2 linked regions of the Elephas maximus indicus genome follow. The protein of the gene in region 2 purifies or fractionates together with the protein of the main gene of each other region. This does not show direct contact. Links are inferred from orthologs where the notes say so. Each region holds a gene or a part of one and is shown on either strand. Other genes may lie near its edges.

Region 1 (10,910 bases), on a different chromosome or scaffold from region 2:
TCCCACTCACAGTGACCTACAGGACAGAGTAGAACTGCCCCAATAACCAAAAAACCCAAACCCACTGCTATTAAGTCGATTCCGACTCATTGCAACACTATAGGACAGACTAGAACTACCCCATAGAGTTCCCAAAGAGCACCTGGTAGATTCAAACTACCTACCTTTTGGTTAGCAGCTGTAGCTCTTAACCACTATGCCACCAGGGTTTCCACCCCAACAGAGTGAGACAATAAATAAACAAAATAACAGAATGGGGCAAGTGCTGCGAAGGAAATAATTAGGATGATGTGAAAATTCCCTGTGGGGTAAATTCTGAAAGTATGTCCATACCAATGCAAACTTTCCCCCCTCCTTTGGGTGAAGTACAGAAGCTATTTAACTATAATTACATGAGAGACACTGGAGGCTGTGGGGGCGGCGGGAGCTTGTCTCACATTTTACACCTGTCTGTCTGCTAACCGAAAGGTCAGCAGTCCCAATCCACTAGCCGCTCCTTGGAAACCCTATGGGGCAATTCTACTCTGTCCTATAAGGTCACTGATTTGGAATCGACTTGACGGCAACAGGTTTGGTTTGGTTTTGGTCATTTTACACCTTTTGTATTTTCTTAACATGTGTGTCACTTTTATGATGATTATTTTAATGGCAACCAAGTGTGGCTGGGTAAAGGGATTATGGGTCATGTTTTGCTTTCTTCTCCATTCTTTCCTGATCTTTTTTGTTTTTCTTTTTCTTAATATTTTATTTTGTTTTCAGTGAAGGTTTACCCTGCGGTTTAGGTTCCCATTCAACAATTTCTACACAAGTTGTTCAGTGACATTGATTACATTCTTCACAAGGCTTGAACATTCTCATTATTTCCTTTCTGATTGTCCTGTTTCCATTAATCTAGTGTCCCTGCCCCCGTACCTTCTCATCTGTGTTTCATAGTAATTGTTGGCCATTGATCTCATATAGGTGAATTTTTAATGAAGCACAGTACTTATGGGTGATATTATTTTTTAAGCCTGGTTTTTAATTTTCTTTTAAACAAATACAAAAACAGGAGCTATAATTATCGCTGTTTCTGGAGAGGCTGGAAAGGGTCTAGCCACCAGAAATCAGGGCAATTTAAAACGCCCACACCAGAACTGCTTGAGGGCTGGCAATTTTTATAAGAACTGTGAACATTTGGGGTTTTCATCTCTATGATAATCCTCCCCGCTCCCCACCAAAAAAAAAAAAAAAAATTTTTTTTAAGTCTCTTAACGCATTGCCCTCCAGTTCATTCTGACTCAGCGACCCCACAGGACAGACTAGAACTGCCCCATTGGGTTTCCAAGGAACGCTTGGTGGATTCTAACTGCCGACCTCTTGGTTAGCAGCCAAATGCTTAACCACTGCGTCACCAGGGCTCCTTTTAATCTCTTACCCGTTAGAAAACCCAAAGGACTCATTTCTGCAAGGCAGCCTTTCAGCGAAGCTGGTTTGGGGGGGATCCGTGAAGAGGTACTGCCCTGCTCCCACACTCCGCGGAACGCACCCCCCTTTCTCCCTCCACCCTGTGCCTCTGCCCCGCCCACTCAGAGCCTGCTGGGCAACAAGGCGCGTCCCCACGTTGCCATGGAGACCGCCCAGCTGCGGAGGCGTGGAAGCTACCGGAGCCAAAGGCCTGGGGGCCCGGGCCCCCGCGGAGCTGAGCGAGGAGGAGAAAACCCAGTGAAACTTCATGACCCGGTACAGCCGGCTGGGCAAAAAAGCAAAAACAACCCGAACGAGCCAATGATTGTGCAAAGGCTTCGATGAGACCTTAACCGCCTCCCACCCCAAGCTTCTTTGTTTCTTCCCTCCCTCCCTCACTTCCCTCTTTCTCTCAAATTCTTTCTTTCCTTCCTCCCTTCCTTCCCTCCCTACCCTCTTCCTCCGTTCTTCTTTTCCTTTCTTTCCCCTCCTTTCCTTCCTCCCTGCATTCCTTCCTTCCTTCCTTCCTTCTCTCATCTAGCAATTTTTTAATTGCGCACCTACTACGTACCCCTGGTAGCCCAGTGGTTAAGAGCTCAGCTGCTAGTCAAAACGTCATTAGTTTGACTCCACCAGCCGTTCCTTGGAAACCCTATGGCAACGAATTTTGGGTTTTTTTTTTTTTTTTACTACATACACATCCGCTATGAGTCGGAATCAACTCGAGGGCACTGGGTTTGGGGTTTTTTTGTTTGTTTGTTTTGGTACTATATACCCAGAGCTCCTGGGTGGTGCAAGGAGTTCAGCACTTGGCTGCTAACTGAAGTGTCAGAGGCTCCAATCCACGCAGAGACACCTCAGAAGAAAGGCCTGGCAATGTACTCTTGAAAAATCAGCCATTGGGAAGCCTATGGAGCACAGTTCTACTCTGACGCACACGGGGTCTCCAGGAATCAACTCAGTGGTAGCTGGGTTGCTACAGGCCAAGCCCTGTTCTAGGTACTGGAGATACATACAGTAGAGAACAAATGAGTTTGCATTCTAGCGTGTGGTGGGAGAGAGTCAGACACAAAAGTAAAGCAAAAATAAAGAAAATCATTTCTGACTGTGTTGTGCTAGGAAATAAAGTAGGAGAATAGGATGTAGGAGGGGGTCTTCACTTGGAGTGCCTGGACCTCTTGGGTCTGTGAATCTGAATGGGAAAAATAAAATCACGGCTTTATATTCACAGACCTTTGAGACAGACCATTGCCTTCCATTATGAACATAAGCAACGAGCCCCAGTAGGGTTAGAAGAGCCTGCAACTTTGTCACTGCTGGAAATCACAGCTGTCTTCGTGTGGCTCTTTTAGTTGCTGCGAAACCTCGAAGCACTTCCTCAAAACCTAGACTTGCTGCTAAATCTTTATGTGATGTGGTAATAACAAGCACCATTTCATGAATTTGTTATTTCTTGAATATTTTCATAACTGTAGGGAACAGTCTGTGCTTCAATGGGTCCGTGGCACTGAGAAGGTTAAGAATTCCTGGGATGGGAGGGTCACTCCTGTAAAATGGGAAGGATTCAGAAGGGCCTCTCAGAGAGGTGACCTTTGAGCAGAGGCCTGAATAAGGAGAGAGAGGTTGACAAGAGAAGGTCAGGGGACAGCAAGTACCAAGGCCCTGCAGCAGGAACAGACTGGTTGGGCTGGAATGGAGTGAGAGAGGGGAAGAGGGGAGGAGAGGAGGACAGAGAAGGAAGGAGTGTGAGGGATTTGTAGGGCTTTGTGGGCCATGGTGAGGACTTGGGTTCTATTCTGAGTGAAATGGAGGATTTTAAAAAGATAGAGACAGTGCCGAGTTATTTTTTGAAAGATCCCTCCAGCTGCAGACAAATGGAGAAAATATTGAAGTTGGCAAGGATTTCATTTTACCCGGCTCCACAATCAATGCCTATGGAAACAGCAGTCAAGAAATCAAACCACGTATTGCTCTAAGGTGCACCTGACCCACCAAAAAACCAAACCCACTGCCATCGAGTCGATTCTGACTCATAACAACCCCATAGGTTTTCCAAGGCTGTAAATCTCTATGGAAGCAGACTGCCACATCTTTCTCCCTTGGAACCTCTGGTGGTTTGAAACTGCTGGCCTTTCACTTAGCAGTTGATCACTTTAACCACTATGCCACCAAGGTGCCTGACCTAAGCCACGGTATTTTCAGTCACTTCATACGCATGCGAAAGCTGGGCAATGCATAAGGAAGACCAAAGAATTGACACCTTCCAATTACGGTGTTGATGAAGAATATTGAATATACCATGGACTGCCAGAATAGGAAACCCTGGTGGCGTAGTGCTTAAGAGCTACAGCTGCTAACCAAAGGGTCGGCAGTTCGAATCCACCAGGCGCTCCTTGGAAACTCTATGGGGCAGTTCTACCCTGTCCTATAGGGTCGCTATGAGTCGGAATTGACTCCATGGCACTGGGTCTGGCCAGAAGAATTAACCATGAGGTTGGCAGTTCCAATCCACCAGGAGCTCCTTGGAAATCCTACGGGGGAGTTCTACTCTGTCCTATAGGGTCACTGTGAGTCGGATTCGACTTAGCGGCAATGGGTTGGGTTGGTTGGTTGCCAGAAGAATGAACAAACCTGTCTCGGAAGAAGTACAGCCAGAATGCTTCTTAGAAGCAAGGATGGCAAGACTTCATCTCACGTACTTTGGACATGTTATCAGGAGGCACGAGTCCCTGGAGAGGAACATCATGCTTGGTAGAGGGTCAGTGAAAAAGACAAAGACCCTCGAGGGGACAGATTGATGCAGTGGCTACAACAACGGGCTCAAACATAGCAACAATTGTGAGGATGGTGCAGGACTGGGCAGTGTTTCATTCTGTTGTACGTAGGGTCGCTATGATTCGGAACGACTCCATGGCACCTAACAACAACCAGCTGCTGGAGAGTCCCTGAGTGGCGCAAACAGTTAAACACTCAACTACTAGCCAAAAAAGTTGGCGGTTTGAAACCACCCTGTCACCCCTCAGGGGACAGGCTGGGTGATCTTCCGAAAGGTCACAGCCTTGAAAACCCTATGGAGCAGTTAGTTCTATCCTGCACACATGGCGTAGCCATGAGTTGAAATCAACTAGTTGGCGACTAGCAACAACAACACTGCTGAATTGAGGGTGGATTGTAGGCAGCAAGGAGAAAGCTGGGAGGCAGTGAGGAGGCACTTGCAGGGATTCAACAAGAAAAAAGGGTAGCTAACATGCTTTTTTTTTTTTAACATGCGGTGACTCTTGGGTTAAACCACCCAGCACTTTAATTGGGGAGGAGGGATTCAGCTATGTCCTGACTCCTGACCCCTGTTTTCTATAGAGCCTGCCTGGGTCTATTACTCAAGTACCTAAGATCTGGTTCAAATATCAGGCCCTCCAGTTAGTTTCCCCATCAACCAGAAGATGCTAGTGAGGGCACCCACCTTGCTGTGTAGCTCTAAGGATTCACAATAGGTCCATTCAGCCCATTCATGATGCCTGGACCCAGGGAAATGCTCAATGCCAATGCAAGTTAACTGTTATTATCTTCCTAATGATGTTGTTGGGCTTTTGTTGCTGAGCCGGTAGCCTTTTTCTGACCCTAAGCCCCAGGGATCCTGACCCACTATGTCTGTGGTGAAGCCTGAGAACCTTCACTTTTATCTCATTTCTTTTAGTTAATATTCTTGGTTGCCAAAAATCCAAGCAATCCTAAAGGGTGTCGAGTGAAGGGTACATGCCTCTCCCACCTCAGGGGCTCCCAGGCCCTCTCCCCGGTAACAGCCACTTTAGGCTGTGCTCCCTGGTGGTGCAGTGGTTAAGTGCTACGGCTGCTAACTAAAAGGTCTGCAGTTCAAATTCACCAGCCCCTCGTTCGAAACCCTATGGGGGCAGTTCTACTGTCTTATAGGGTCCCTATGAGTCAGAATCGACTTGATGGCAATGGGTTTGGTTTTTTAGTTTTATACCTGTGACTAGCACAAGTGCATGTCTCGACTATTTGTTCTACACACACAGAGTCAGACTGTTTTGGGTTCAAATCTAGCCTCAGTCACTTCCTGTTTGTGTAACCTCAAAAAGGTGATTTTACTTCTTTGGGCCTCAGTTTCCTTAGCTGTAAAATGGGAATGATAATTGTATTACCTGTCTCGTTGTTACAGTGAGGATCTAATGAATTAATTCACAGAAAGCACTTAAAGTGGGATCTAAAAAACCAAACCAAACCCACTGCCATCGAGTCGATTCCGACTCACAGTGACCCTATAGGACAGAGTAGAACTGCCTCATAGGGTTTCCCAGGCTGTAAACCTTTATGCAAGCAGACTGCCACATCTTTCTCCCACAAAATGGTGCCTAGTATATAGTAAAGTAAAACTTGTAAAAGCTGGCACCTGGGTAAGGTGGAAACCTGTCAGAGAAGGAAAACCAGAGATAAAAAAAAAAACAAAACAGAAAAACAAGGCAGTCTCGTCAAGTTTCAGCTCTCATAGGTTTCACTGTATATAGTATGTAGGTCTCAAACACAGCAATGATTGTGAGGATGGAGTAGAACCTGGCACGGTTTCATTCCGTTATATATAAAGTCTATATGAGTCGGAACCAACTCAAAGGCACCTAACAACAATAGTATATAGGAAAAATGGTCCCTGGGTGGCACAAATGGTTTGTGCTGGACTGTTAACCTAAAGGTTGGTGGTTCAAACCCACCCAGAGGCAAGACAAGCCTGGAGGTCTGCTTCCAAAAGGCCACAGCCTTGAAAATCCTATGGAGCACAGTTCTACTCTGCACACATGGGTTTGCCATGAGTCAGAACCGACTCAATGATAACCAGCAATACCACCACCACCCATCTGTCAGTGGAGACTTGCATGTCGCTATGATGCTGATCAGGTTTAAGCATTCAGACTACAACGGACTAGGAAGAAAGGCCGGTCCATCTTCTTCTGAAAATCAGCCAACGAAAACCCTGCGGACCACAGCAGTCTGATCTGCAGTCCATCACGGGGATGGTGCAGACCAGGGAGCATTTCATTTGTGAATGAGGTCGCCACGAATCTGGCCCATTCTAGGGCAGCTAAACGACAACCACCAGTTTTTTTACCCACATGCATGAATGGGTATGGGGTAGGAATTGCTGGTACCACGAGTCGCGTGCATTTAAAATGTTAATACATAGCGTCAGTGACCTTCAAAAGGGCTGTCCCATTAGCACACCCACCTAGGGGGCTGAGGGTGGGGGACTTGGCCAGAACGGGTATATCTACGATGGCAGGTTTGGGAACTGGCTGCCATTCGGGAAAGGTGCTGACGTGGGCCTCCGCGCTCTTTTCACTTGGAGGCGGGTGGCCCCAACTAGGCCTGGGGCGCGGCCACACCCCTGTGGGGGAGGGGAGAGAGGCCTCCTTAAAGGGAGTGGACAGCCCCCCTGTCAGTCTTCCCGAGTCGGGGAGTGTAAACTGAGAAGGGAGAAGGTGGGCCTCACCCCGGGGAGCGCGAGGAGGAACTTCCTGCCTGTGCGCTCCACCGCACTGGGCGCGCGCCGCGTCAAGGTCAGTCTTGGAGGGGTGGCAGCCTGCCTGGGGGCGGGAGACCCTCCGGGGGGGCCGGGCCGCAGTCTCCCAGCGCCTCGGCCATATTGAATAGCCCCGGCTGAGCCGTCTTTGTCTGGGAAGCGGTCTCGCAAGTTCCAGCCGCCCCTTTGGTGCCTGGGGCAAGACGAACCACCGTGCACTCCAACTTGGAGCAGCTTTCCAGCTTTGCGCGGGCTTGAAGCCTCGGGACAGATTCCTCGCCAGCTCACGTAAGCGTCGTGGGACTTCATTTCCACCAGCCTTTTTTGGGGGGAGCAGACTTGGCCAAGGCCGGCCTGGTGGCAGACAAAGTGGGAGGAGGTGGCTCGTCCCTGGCTGGGGAGGTGAGACCTTCCGGGCAGCATTGTTGGGACTCCCCACCTAAGGCTACAGACTGCGTGACGTTGGGGTCCTTAGCCCCACATTCCGGATTTCACCCTGGAGATCTTAAAGACCCTCGAGAAAAGCCACGTGGGGGGCTGGTTCCCCTGGGGCTTCCTGCCGTCGCCGGACTGCCTAATCCTATGGAGCGTCCCCGACGTCTGCAAGGATGTGGACTTGGATGTCCTCGTGGAAGCCTTGAAGCCCGTGGGGACCTTTAAGAAGATCGGCAAGGTATTCCGCAGGGAGGAAGACTCTACGGTGGGGATGCTGCAGATTGGGGAGGATGTCGACTATCTGCTCATCCCCCGGGAGGTCCGGCTGGCGGGCGGTGTCTGGAGGGTCATCTCCAAGCCCGCCACCAAGGAGGCGGAATTTCGTGAGCGGCTGACCCAGTTCCTGGAGGAAGAGGGCCGCACCCTGGAGGATGTGGCCCGCATCATCGAGAAGAGCACCCCGCACCCGCCCCAGCCCCTCAAAAAGCCCAAGGAGCCCCGAGTGCGGAGGAGAATTCAGCAGATGGTGACGCCTCCGCCCCGTCTGGTCGTTGGCACGTATGACAGCAGCAACGCCAGTGACAGCGAATTCAGCGACTTTGAGACCTCCAGGGACAAGGGCGGCCACGGCTCGGGCCGGGCCCGGAGGGTTCGAAAAATGCCGGTCAGTTACCTGGGCAGCAAGTTCCTGGGAAGCGACCAGGAGAGCGGGGACGACGAGGAGCTGGTGGAGGCCTTCCTGCGGCGCGGGGAGAAGAAACCTAGCGCGGCCCCTGCCCGCCGCCGGGTGGCGCTGCCCGTGCCAGTGGCCGAGGACGACCCGCCCCAGCTCTCCAAGGCCGACAGGTGGCGCGAGTATGCCAGCCAGGTGTCCTGGGGGAAGCTGAAGCGCAGAGTGAAGAGCTGGGCGCCCAGGTCTTTGCCGGGCGTGGGCGATACCCAGCAGCCCGTGTCCAGGATGGAGAGTGACAGGGCGTCAGGGCCAGGCTGCGCCAGCCGGGGGGAGAACGCGGGAAACACAGGAGATGGGCGGCAAGCCGGGACCCTCCCACGACGGTGGCGGCCCAAGATCAGCTGGGGTTCGTTGAGGCGACGCCGGAGGGAGGAGGTAGCATCCATAGCTCAGGGGGCAGAGGTGCTGGGTGACCAGAGGATAGAGGTCCCAGTTGACCGGAGAGCAGAGGTCCCAGCTGACCAGGTGGCAGAGGCCATAGCTGACCAGAGGGTAGAGATCCCAGTTGGCCAGGGGGCAGAGGTCCCAGGTGACCAGGGGGCAGAGGTCCCAGGTGACCAGGGGGCAGAGGTCCCAGGTGACCAGGGGGCAGGGGTCCTGGGTGACCAGAGGGCAGAGGTTGAAGCTGACCAGGTGGCAGAGGCTGCAGCTGACCAGAGGGCAGAGGTCGCACCTGACCAGAGGGCAGAGGCCGCAGCTGACCAGGTGGCAGAGGTTGCAGCTGACCAGGTTGCAGAGGCTGCAGCTGACCAGGCGGCGGAGGCCCCAGATATCCAGGGGGCCCCAGGGGCAACCCCAGGAGCCAGAGCCCGGAAACAGGTCAAGACAGTGAGGTTCCAGACCCCTGGACGTTTTTCATGGTTTCGCAAGTCACGGAGAGCCTTCTGGCACACACCCAGGCTGCCAACCCTCCCCAAGAGAGTCCCCAGGGCAGGCGAGGCCAGGAGCCTCAGAATGCTGAGGGCCGAGGGCAGAGCAGAAGCGGAGCAGGGAGATCAAGAAGACCAGCTGTGAGGGCGAGGGCGGGGGCCCTGTGGAGCACCCCTTGCCACATTCTGCATTATCAGCCACTTGGGCATGTCCTTACCCCTCCCAGACCTGGACTGAGATGGTTTCACTCTCTGCTTCTGCACCTGAAAATCCAAGGGACAGAGAGAGAGGGGGCGAGACAACGCCTCCATATTTCCACCTGACAACCTTCTTCCTTTTTCTGTTAAAATTTTCTCTCTCGTGTATTAATTTTTTTATACCCACTCCTTATAGCAACTCAAGGAATGTAATGAGAAAAATCGATACAGCGGGGTTGCAGCCAGGTACTTTTAATTCCCTAGGTGCTCATTTTAAAAAGGGGAGCGAGACGGGGCAAAATTCATGGCTTCTCCCCTTTCGCTGGGTGATTGACATTTGCTGTCTCTTTGAACTTCAAAAGAGGGCTCAAGCTGACCTGCAAGTGAAAACATTAAAAAAAAAAAAACTTAGATTTTGGCTTTGGACTTGACAACTGAAGAATGCTCGAGGGCTATTTGGTCATGTGCCCTCACTGTCCCCCCCACTCCCATCCTCAATGGTAATGACCATGGTTACTTTGGTCCCCTGGGCTCTGCTGGTTTGAAGGGTGCAGGGCCCATGGTTTATGCCCTTCAACCTGTCCTTGGCTGTGAGGTTGGGGGCCATAAGTGTGCATACAAATCACCTGGGGAATGTGTTCAAAATGCACATTCCTGAACCCTTCACACCACAGATATGAATTTGCTAGTGTGGCCCAGGAATCTATTTTGATCCAGCTCTTATGGGCTTTACCCAGGGCAGCTCGCACACTTGCCATTCACTGGCCGTGTGGAAGAGACATTGCCATAAGAACAGGCCCAAAATTGGGGCATGGGGTGGCATGCTGACGTTGATAATGGGGGTATGATGTCATGTGCTATGACTGATACTTACCATCAGGGAGAAATTGGGGAGGTGAGGCCCCGTGAGGCTGGGAGGGATCTCTGTATGACCTTATGCCCACCCTGCTCAACCAGCGAAAAAGAGCAAATGGCCACAAAAGAGCCTCACTGGGGAAAAGAAGGTGGAGGAGGGAAGCAGAAGGCCAGCTCTGCCCTCCTGATTGTGGCTGCAGGCCTTGCCTGGATTTTTTTTCCCCCTTGATACCTAAAAGAATTATATCCCTTTCTTTATTTCCAGGAGACCCTGGGTGGCGCAAAGGGTTAAACACTCGACTACTAACCAAAATGTTGGCGATTCAAACCCACCCAGAGGTGCCTCGGAAGACAGGCCTGGGAGTCTGCTTCCGCAAAATCAGCCACTGAATGCCCTGGCACACATAGGGTTGCCAGGAGTTGGAGTCAATTCAACGGCAACTGTTTGGTTGGGTTTTTTCCCCCTTTTTCTTTTTCCCTGTCTGTTTTCTAAAAAGAAATGGCTACTGATGATGTGGCTCACTGCCTGACATGGTGTGTTGCTGTCTAGAGCTGCTTTGTGCTTGGTGGTGGACCCTGGGCCTGTGTGGCCCACAGCTGGCAACCAGGCAGCAAAAGAGGCCAGTGGGCTTTGCAAGAAGGGGCGAGGCATGGGCCCCACCTAGAGAGGTGGACTGAGCGGAGGCATGGGGTGGGGAGGACGCAGGTGCAGCCAAGCCAGGTGGGGAGATAGCTCTGAAGCCACTGAGGAGGTTAGGAAGGGGGAGGCTGTCCTTCTCCGTGCCCACCTTGGAAAACGGTGGAACCAAGGGGGCCTGGTCTCTGCAGACCTGGAAGGTGAGAGGAG
Region 2 (10,656 bases):
ACTAGGCTGCCTTTGTGCCCTCAGCCTTGTGGGATTTGGAAGCCGCTTCTGGCAGGAAATTGCTTCCTTCGGGCTTTGCTGTTAAGGACTTGAGGGACAAAAAGCTCCCACATACATTTAGTAGCCCTTGGGTTTACTGGGAAGAAGGTTTTCCACTGACAGTGCAGCCGTCAAGAGGGGACTTGAAACAGAAGAAACGGGCATGTGCCACAAATTAGTTTTTACAGGGTGTTGTGTGAGGTGGTACATCCTGGATGGTACAGACATACGTGTCCCACCAATCCTACACCAGACTCCACAGGGACATGCTCAATGATTCAGCATGCATTCCATTAATGAAAAGAATTTTATCAATGAAAAATTTAAAGTGAAAAATAATTTGGTTATGAAAGGGTTAAAGCCTTGTGGGAGGGAAGTCCTAATTAACGATTTCATTTGTTACTTTGGTTTGAAGCCAACAGAATGGTACAGTGATGAATGAGAAACTGAGGAGATAATGAGGGTCTTCTTGTCCATCAGGAGCCCTGGTGATGCTGTTAAAGCACCCTGCCACTAACCGAAAAGTGTGCCGCACCTTCCGGAGAAAGACGTGACAGCTGGCTTCCTTAAAGCTCCAGCCTTAGAAATCCTATAGGGCAGTTCTACCCTGTCCTATAGGGTCACGATGAGTTGGGAAACCAAACAAAAACAAAACCCAAATCCATTGGCTTTGAGTTAGCAATGGGTTTGGTTTTTCATTTTGGTTTGTCCATATTGTCTCTTTCTCTTGAAGCTGCAGTATTCACATTTTCTACCGCCGTACCCTTTGGAGGTATTTTATAATACTGCATTAGTTCACTGATGGCAATTAGTATTTCATTTATTACCCTTATTTTATATTGTTTATGTCTCAAGAGGTGGCCTCCATCTCTACTAGACTAGCATTCATATCTTTTTATTTTATTGTTGTAAGTATATAATACACGCTTGCCAACTAGATGTTTTTCACGTGTACAATTTAGTGACATCAATTACATTAATCATGCTGTGCAACCATCACCAATATCCATTGCCAAATTTCTATCACCATAAACAGAAACTCAATGCTTCCTAAACAAAGTTGATCTGCTTTTATTTTTACAATTTTTTTTATACATTTCCATCATATTCACTCTTGGCCTTCATTTGTTTCAGACTGAAGAATGCTATTTTACCTGTGGTCAGTTAATTTAGTGCTCAACACACATTTGTTGAATGCTAGGTGCTCTTGGGATACAAAAGAACAAATTATTCTACAATTCAGTAGAAGAAAAGTACCAAAATATAGTGCTGTAAGAGTTTAGAGGTGGGGAAGAGAGGAATTAACATTTATGACCACTCGGCCATATACTACGTTCTTCATGTACATCATCTTAAAGAGCTTGATATTATTCTCCTGAAAGTGACTATACTCATTTTACTGATGAGTTTAGTAACTTTCTCAGAGTCATACAATACTTAAATAGCAGAGCCAGAATTTGAACCTGGTCTGATTCCAAAATAGATGCCCCATCCTTCCACCATGGGACCTCCTCCAAAATTGAGATTAATAGTCCTGGCCTAGAGAGATGGAGAAGGCCTTCTGGAGGAGACATGATTTGAGCTCAGTGTAAGCTGGGGGCGGGGTGGAACATAAGCTGTTTCAGGGAAACAGTAGTAGGGAAGTACAAAGATAACGTAAGGCAAGTAATTCAAGAGATCTTCGTAAAGTTCATGTCGTTAGTTGCTGTCGAGCAGACTCATGTAACGAAGGTAGCCAAATGCCTCATCATCTAATTAGTGATGTGCATGAATGGATGAAAGAGATTCCCACTGTCCCTACCTACTATCCAGCAAAACCACAGCCAAGGGAACAGGCTTGGCGGAATCAGCAGGGAAAGAAGATGCTGCTGAGTTTGACCCTAGTCTGGCACCGTGAAGAGACATGGGAGGTATAAAATAAGTGGGGCTTATTATATAATGAGTGGGATATAGCATTCTTCAGTGCCGACTCATGGAAACCCCATGTGTGCAGAGGAGAGTTTTCAAGGCTGTGACCCTTGGGAAACAGAATGCTAGGCCTGTCTTCTAAGGTACCTCAGGGTGGGTTTGAACTGTTTGTGCCACCCAGGAGCTCCTAAAATTAGTGTTAAGCCCCCCAAATGTAGAATGAGGCCTATTCCTGGAAGGTCTTAAATGCTGAGTTGTAAAAAAAGCTGGTCTTTATTTTTTAGCTATGTAAACTGTTTGAGCAGAAAGAGTAATATGCACAGAGATGCACTTTGGGAAAAGGAATCTTGTCGGTGGTATGATTGACAGCTGTACTGTCCGGTACAGTAGCCACTGGCCACATGCAGCTATTTAAATTTAACTTAATTAAGCTAAAATAAAAAATCAGTTCCTTAGTTGCACTAGCCACATTTCAAGGGCTCAACAGCCACATGTGGCCAGTGGCTACCTTACCGAACAGCACAAATGTAAAACATTTCCATCATCATAGAAAGTTCTATTGGACAGTGCTAGCGACAAGAGACTGGTTAGAAACAATCGATATTAGAATAGTCTAGGGCAGAGGTATTTGAATTATAAGCTTTGGTGGCCACAGTGAGGATGGTGAGGAGTGGCAAGTGGAAAGCTATCTTTGATGCTGGCTTTAAAGGACTCATCAAATGGCTGCCTAAAGGAAGGCACATGATTTCCTTATTTATTTGTTTTAGCAGTCTTCTCTGGAATTTTCCAGCTCCATTATTTCCCTCTCGATTTCATAGAACCCCTAATGGCTTGTTTTCATGCTTTAGCAGGACCCTTCCTGACAAGGTGTGTGACGAGAAGCTCCTACTGATAAGTGCCAGATGCACTTTAGTGTGGAAAAGGTGATGAATTTCAGAAAAGATCATCAAAACTACACTGATGGGATGATGACCTTGCAGCTAAGACACAAAAGGGACAGTGTCTGTTTCCAGCTCTTGACAGTGTCAGTCTGATGGGGCTACTGCACTCAGTGTAATCAACACCATGCTAACCTTTACCCATAACCTTGAAGATAAATGTCCACTTTGAAGACAACTCCTTGATGCTTCCTTCCATCAGAGCAAATATTTAAGTTTGGTAGACAATGTGTTTGAACCACGTAAGTTTTCGTTTTCTTACTCTACAAATGTAACATAATTTTGAGTACCTGGATTACTCGATGGCACCGGGTTTGCTTTTTTGGTTTGGATTACTACAAGGGAGACATTAATTTAATCTCTGTACCCCATACCTGATCCCCAGACAAGTAGCATCAGCATTGCCTAGGAACTTATTAGAACTGCAAATTCTCAGGCCCCACCTAAACAACAACAACAAAAAACCAAAACAGTTGCCATTGAGTCGATTCCAACTCATCGCGCCCCTACAGGACAGAGTAGAACTGCCCCACAGGATTTCCAAGGAGCAGCTGGTAGATTCGAACTGCTGACCTTTTGGTTAGCAGCGGTAGCTCTTACACCACCAGGCCCTACCTAGACATACTGAATTAGAAACTCTGGGGGCAGGCCTAACACTCTGCTTTAAGAATCCCTCCAGGTGATTCCGATACACAGTAAAGTATGAGGACCACTGTAAATGTAGCCAACTTCTTTAGTCTTCCAGTGTTAAGTTTGGGGGCATTGTCAAAACACATGCATTTTGACTCAGCTCCTTCACCTTCCATACTTGCCCCATCCATCCATCCATCCATCCATCCATCCATTTATTCATTTACATAATCTATGTTCAGACTATTTAAAAAATTAAGAATAAAAAGTTTAAATACAGTGCGACTTTCTGACCATTGACCCAATAGAATTGAAATCTTGAAACTTAAGTTTAGTTGCCAGAATATCTTTCCCCACTATTGTCATCTTTCATATATTCTCTAAAATTATGTGAAGGCAAAATTCACTTCCAAAATTTCAAAATAAGCATTTGTTAAAACAGCCCTTTGCCAGTTACTACCTAGGTTTTAATGGGAAATGAATTTCAGATATAGAAAAGGCATCTTTTTAGCACTCTTCAATAACTGTCTAGTGACAGAGATATAAAAATGACTTAGACAAAGATGCAGCCCTCAAGGAGCTTAACCATCAGACACTACCTGCAGCTATCTGTACTGCAATGTAGTTAAGGGCAAAACCAGTGGAGTGTGGAGGAGAGACACTTATTATTGGGGTGGGATGTTGTAGAAACGTCACAGGATCCTGGAGGATAAACAGAATTTGACAGGAAGAGAAAGGGACAGGTGAGGGAGGAGGCTCAGGCAGAAGGAACAAAATGAACAAAAGCTGTAAGTTTTGGGCAGTCAAGCCTCAGGAGGAGATGGATGCGGTGGCGGCTGAGACTGGGGCAGTGGGCCACTTCGAGGGTTTCTGATAATCCCGGCAAGCGACTTTGAAAGGAGGCAGCTTGCAAAAATGCACACGCTGTCTGTTGTTATAGCCATTCCACGCGGCCTTTCAAAGCACAGACAAGACCTCTGAGCTCCCAGGGGATCCCCATTCATTCATCCCTCAAATATTGACTGAGCGCCCGCTATGTGCCTAGCCCTGCTGGGGACAGGAGCAGCCCCCTGCCTGCGACTTCGATGTGTAATGAAAGGCCGGTCCCTCGCACCCAGGCTCCCACGCCGGGGACCCGCCGCGGCCTCACCGCTCTCCACCTACAGCCCCTGGCTCCTGGGCGACTCCCGCAGCGGCTCACCTGGTTCCCGGGCGAAGGCGGGAATGACGACGGTGGGGTCGGACGCGGCTCTGGCCCGGCTGGCAGCGCTGGGACGCGAATGCGGGCGCAGACGCCGGCGGTTCCCGAGCCGTTGCGCCCGAGCTTGCGGGCGTTCGGAGCGGGCAGGGGGCATAGGCAGCAGGGGTAGGGGAGCGGGGACCGGGATAGCTGGGCCGCGCGTCCGGAGCCCAAGGGAACTCCTTACCTGTGCCATCCAGGCCCCCACTGGCTTCGAGGTTTTACACTTTTGATTGCAGGCCTACTTGGTGCCAGGGCTCGTGATCTGCACTGCGCATCAATTCACAAGTCTTCCGGTTACCGGTTAGGTCAGAAGAGAGACGTAAGGAAACCTCTCGAAGGGAGATAGCCAAGATTTCCCTAAATCAGAACCGCCTGGCATCTATGCTAAAAATGCAGTGCCCATCTCGGACTTATCTAATTAGACTGCAGCGCGCCCTGGGAAGCTGTGTTTTAAAACAAACTCCCAGGTTGATTCTTCTGTACATAAAAGTTTGAGAATTACTAGGAGAGCTTGGCTGGAAAAAATCTCACTTTAGGGCTAATATTTGCTTTTGTGACAGACTTCGTCAGAATCCCTAAGAAGAAGCCGTATGTCCCTGAGCAGATGGGAAGGCAGCGGCTTTCTGGCTGGAACCTTTTTCTTTTTATATGCAAGTTATTTCTTGGAAATTGAGAATTTCCCTGAGCAGGTGTTTGGCTGCCGGTGCCTATACTGAGTTCAAAGATCTTGGGCCCTTTTCCCGATGCCCCATTTGTCATCGTCGCTTTCTAGCACCAGAGCCAGGCGTTGCCCCAGCCCACCACGGTGGGGCGCACGAGGCATGTGTTGCCCGCTAGTCTCTTCCTTGGCGAGTCTGCCTACGCGCCCTTAAGGACATCAGTCCTTGGAAGTTCCTGCTTCTGGCCTCCAGCTGTTGCTCTCTTGTCGCGAGAACTGCTCCTCCTCCCGTACTCTCACATCACGAAACCCCTCCCGCGAGCAGGTTCCATATTGGGTGACTCTCGGCTCGCGGAGAGTCCCGGGACCTGTTCTCGCGAGAGTACAGAGGGAGGCTCCTGCTCACTGGCTCTGGATCCGCGACCGCTGGAGTCTCCGTGGGCGCTGCAGCTGGAGTCCGGCGACGCAGCCCAGAGACGGCCTGGTCTGGGCGAGTGTGCAGGGGGGTCGCGGCGGGCGCAGCCCCGAGCCGGGTAGCGCGCCCCTGTCCTGAGCCGGGGTCGTCCCCGTCACTAAGGCGCATCTAGGTGCTGCAGCTGACAGGGGCCGCGCGCGCGCGCGGGAGTCCGAGGGGCCGCGGCAGCCGCACCTGCGCCGGCGACCAGCGCAGGGTCCCGGCCCTGCCCGGCAGGGAGCGAGAGTCCGGGAGCGGGTGCAGGCGCAGGCAGGGGCCCCGCAGGGCCACCTCCTCACCCTGCGGCCGCCGCTGGAAGATGTCTCAGGAGAGGCCCACGTTCTACCGGCAGGAGCTGAACAAGACAATCTGGGAGGTGCCTGAGCGCTATCAGAACCTGTCCCCGGTGGGCTCCGGTGCCTATGGCTCGGTATGGTGAGTGTCGCAGGGCCTGAGGCTAAGGTGGACGGGGTGGCCCCTCACGCCCAAGGGCCAGGCCTGCCCCCACGGCTCAGCGATGCGCCAAGTGGCAGGAATTTTTCTCGAGGAACGGCATCGCTGCCCCTTCGAGCTCTGTCTTGCACCCCTGGCACCCCCATCTGCACAGCAACTAGGTGGTCAGCCGTGTGCAGGACGCAGTTCCATGCTGGGCTGGGTGGGGGTGGGGGTGGGGGTGCTGGAATTCGGCCCTGGCTCGCGCCCTGCGCGAGGGACAGGGAAGGCTTCTCAGAAGGCTGCTGCTCCGGGGACAGGGACGAGGGTGCCTTCTGCTTGCGGGGGGAGGGGGTGTCCCTGCTGGCGTCGAACAGAAGGGCCCCCTCCGGGGGTGCGCCCACCCTGGGGCGCTGGAGCTGGCCCTCTGTGCGGACAAGCCCAGGAGCTGCCGGGAGAAGGCAGAGCCCAACTGGGAGACTGTGATCATCTGAACAACGAGGAAGGGCGCTCTCCCCGGGCTTTTTTTGCAAAGCTGCGTTGAAATTCCGTTTTGAGAAGGGTTCCTTTTGAATTAGCAGCGACCTATAGAGCTTAAAATACTGACTTTATCTCGGTGAACACCGTGCCAGTTTGAGTGGTGTGTTTCCGATTCGGTTGAAAGCGTATTTCCTTTTCGCGGGGGGGTGGGGGAGGTGGTGGCGGTGGCGGTGGCGGCGATAGTGCCTGCGAGAACCCTGCTGTTTAAGAAACCGGTCGTCTCACTGATTAGTCACATTCCTCTGCTCATTTAAGTATTGTTTGACAAAACAATTTTCTCATTTGGAGCAAAGGATATTCAGGACCGTTGGACGCTCTCAAGATCAAAAAGTTAACCGTGCTGGGAAGGACTGTAAATAGTTTTAAATTGCGACAGTTCCTACAAATACTGTGTTTTTAAAGCCCCTTATAGAGATTTTGCAGGAAACTTATCTGCATTTGTGACCTGAGGTACACGACAGTTTTCATAGCATGTAGCAAAAGAAGGAAGAGACGCCTTTTTACACCGCAAGTGTTTTAAATTAAACGGGTACAATAAAGTTTCCGGACTTGAAATGTTTCACTAACTTCTCTCTTGTTTCCAAAGTTTTATGTACTGTATTTTAGATGTACTGTAATCTGGGCGCCCCGATCTGAAACTAAATATCAGACTTAATTATTAACTGTTTCTGGGTTTTAGTAATTTCGTGTACATGCATCATTTGAAAAGGGGTCTGTAAAATAAGTTTTTGCTTAGGAATATATTCCAGTTTTTTGAATGTGTTAATCTTTAAGTGTAATTCCTGTGTTCCTTAAAGTCACATCATGAATTTCCTGTTTGGTAGACTTTTCGGGTAATTAAGATTGTGCAATTGTGCCCTGCAACAGATCATATTGCATTTTCTAGTTAAAGCTGCTTGCGTTATGTCGCAGATGGCACCATGCTTGACATCTTTCTCTCATTTTAAAGGAATTTGCAGCTTTTTACATTCACTATATATATTTCTTGATTTACAACTTTTCAAAGATGTATTTGAGTCATTGCAGCTTTTACAGTTCATTAATTTACCTTCATTTTTGAATTGACATATTTATTTTTGCAATATCAGGTTTTTGTTTCCAGTGTTTCCGTTTAAACTTTAATGGAGTGATACAGCAAAATAACTCAGCTACAGGGAATTTAGGTGAACTTGAAAAAATTTGCTCGCAGGGTTTCCCTGTAAGTATGAATAGCTCAGCACTAGACCACACATCAGATTTCTAATAAAGTGTCGCTAAAATGAACTTCATATTTCTTTAGTACTCTTCTGGCTTATAGAAGCCAGCAGTATCTGACATTTGGAAGTAATTTTGTTGAATAGATTTTTAAAAATAGGTAATACATTCATATTTTATAAAATTCAAAATATATAAAAGAGTATTCAGTGAAAAGTCTCCCTCCCTTTCTTTTTTGTTCCCCAGCTGCCCTCTTCCCTTCTGCGGAAACAACCACTGTTAAGTTTCTTGTGTGTCTTTTCAGGAAGGCAGAGGTTTTTTTTCTTTGTCTTTTTTTAAAGTAGCATTTCTAGTAAATATTTCTAGGCGGATTTAAGATACAGATGGAATCCCTCGGTGGTAAAAATGGGTAATGTACTTGGCTGCTAACTGAAAAGCTGGAAGTTCGAGTCTACTCAGAGGTGCGTTGGAAGAAAGGCCGGGTGACCTACGTAGGAGAAAGTCAGCCATTTAAACCCTGTGGAGTACAGTTCTACTCTGACGTGCGTGGGATTGCCGTGTGTCGGAGTCTACTGGAAGGTGTGTGTGTGAGAGAGAGAAGATGCAACCTATAGAGTTTTGGTGGAAGAAAATACAAGTGAAATTGCATAAAAATTGACTATAAAACAAGTATCACTGCTTGTGTAATGAAAATACCAGAACTTAGATTTGCAAATAAGTATCATCTCAGAGTAGCTATTTGAAGTTGTTCTTTCAATTATCAACTTTTCAGGTGTGACCCGAAAAAATAATCCATTGCTGTTGAGTCAATTCCGACTCGTAGAGACCCTATAGGACAGAGCAGAACTGCCCTATAGAGTTTCCAAGGAGCATCTGGTGGATTTGAACTGCTGACCCTTTGGTCAGCAGCCATAGCACTTAACCACTGTGCTACCAAGATTTCCTCAGGTGGGACAGAAAATGTGTTTCTTAGAACTTACTTTGGTGCTTGTGTAACTTTTTTCATCTTCATTCTTTGAGAGCAGATTTGACTAGAGAATAGCTAAAAGTGAAATTGAATCCAAACGATTCATAAATTTAGATCCAGGTCTGGTGAAAAGGATTAGGAAAGTCAGGTTGGTGATTTTAGGTCAAAAAGGAATCACAATGATAAAGTAATGACAATTTCTAGTGTGGCTTGTAGGACTGAACCTGAAGTCTTATTCCCAAAAAGAATCTCTACAAGTATTTAAAGGAATGCAGCATCATTGAAAAATGTATTCAGTTTCCTAATTTGATTACTCTGAAGAAGTGTGTTCACTTTGATGTGTAAATTTTTTCCTCTTTTAAGTGTGTTTTCATTATTTTCATTTGTAGAATGTAATGCAAATAGCAGCCTGTGTGGTAGCCGAAAATGAATCAAAGATTAAGGAATCAGGCTTCAAAAACTTGATAGGGTTTGACAAATTGTCTTTCCTTGTTAAAGATGAAAGGGAACTAAACTAAGCTTTGCAGTTTTAAGGAACTTTGTGCATTGTCTGTGAGGGGAAATGAAGCAAAATTGTTTAAGAATACGTTGTTGCAAAGCATTGATTTTGTGGTTTTGGGACTGAAGGGGAGAATCTTTGTGGTGAGTTTAAGGAAATATAAACAGGAACTTAAATGCCTTTCCTCTGGGGTACGGTTTTTCCAGTCCCTTGCTGTTGATTAAGGGAGGTGGGGGCACTGGTAACCGTAAAACAGTGTGATGAGGATTGAGAACTACTCTGAGATCATATCTGATTGTTTATTCAACAGTATTTATTGAGCACCAAATGTGGTCTAGTTAGCAGGCTAGGTCCTTGAGATAGAGTGCTGAACAACACAGCACAAGACGGTGCTTCTCTCACCAACCTTATAACCTAGTGGTAAAAACTACATCTTACGGATTGCTTACTGTGTTCCAGGCATTGTACTGTGCACTTTGTATTTATCATCAGTATATAAAGTATATAATAAAACGTTTAGTTAAAGAATGGTACAGTATACTAAGATGTCTAATCCAACTTCCTAAAATGGCTTGGAGAACAGGAGTATATATAATATTATAAATGCATGTAATAAAAATAAATGAGGCTACTGTTTGTGTTCTTTTTTTTAAGTTTAGTTTAATGGCCATTCGTGTTTTAAATCTTTCTTTTGCAATAAACCAGGGTACAAATAAAAATATATCATTTTTGAATATGCAAAGATGATATTCTTGACTCCTGATCAATGAGGTCAGCGTGCCATTCACTTTTCTGGTGGTGATAATAGGCTCGTGTTGATATTTTTCCCTATTTCCTTTTCTTTGTAGCCAAAAACAAGGTGGTTGGCTGAATGCTGTCAGTGCCAGTAAGAAAGATTTAAACATAAATAATAGCAAATGTTTGTGTTATTGAGGTGTAAAGACTGTTATAAGAAAGCGTTCAGTCCACTTGGCTAGAGTCATATTTTATTTGTCAAATCACATTTTTCCACTGATACTTTTCTACTCACTCTCATTTTAAAATAAGGGTATCCTGGACCTCTGGCTCTTTAATTCTGCTAGTTTAATTTCTTGATACTGAGGAGTATTCTGCTTTTGGTCTCCATCTAGCTCAGCCTCAGAGATGATGCATAT

Evidence for each region. The genes of interacting proteins can lie anywhere in the genome.
Region 1: the proteins of MAPK14 (region 2) and CCDC8 purify together in Homo sapiens (affinity purification with mass spectrometry; 3 studies listed by BioGRID and IntAct, counting the BioPlex papers as one, with this or other methods). This does not show direct contact. The link is inferred for Elephas maximus indicus from reciprocal best matches to the Homo sapiens genes MAPK14 and CCDC8.

What each region holds. Positions count from the first base shown.
Region 1 is NC_064829.1:103,273,272-103,284,181, forward strand, and holds the start of CCDC8 (coiled-coil domain-containing protein 8), read left to right. Parts: upstream 1-6,971; 5' UTR 6,972-7,679; coding exon 7,680-9,155; 3' UTR 9,156-10,910. UniProt on the Homo sapiens protein: Core component of the 3M complex, a complex required to regulate microtubule dynamics and genome integrity. It is unclear how the 3M complex regulates microtubules, it could act by controlling the level of a microtubule stabilizer.
Region 2 is NC_064819.1:99,703,052-99,713,707, forward strand, and holds the start of MAPK14 (mitogen-activated protein kinase 14), read left to right. Parts: upstream 1-5,770; 5' UTR 5,771-6,189; coding exon 6,190-6,305; intron 6,306-10,656. Other genes in the region: SLC26A8 (testis anion transporter 1), read right to left, coding at 4,717-4,951. UniProt on the Homo sapiens protein: Serine/threonine kinase which acts as an essential component of the MAP kinase signal transduction pathway.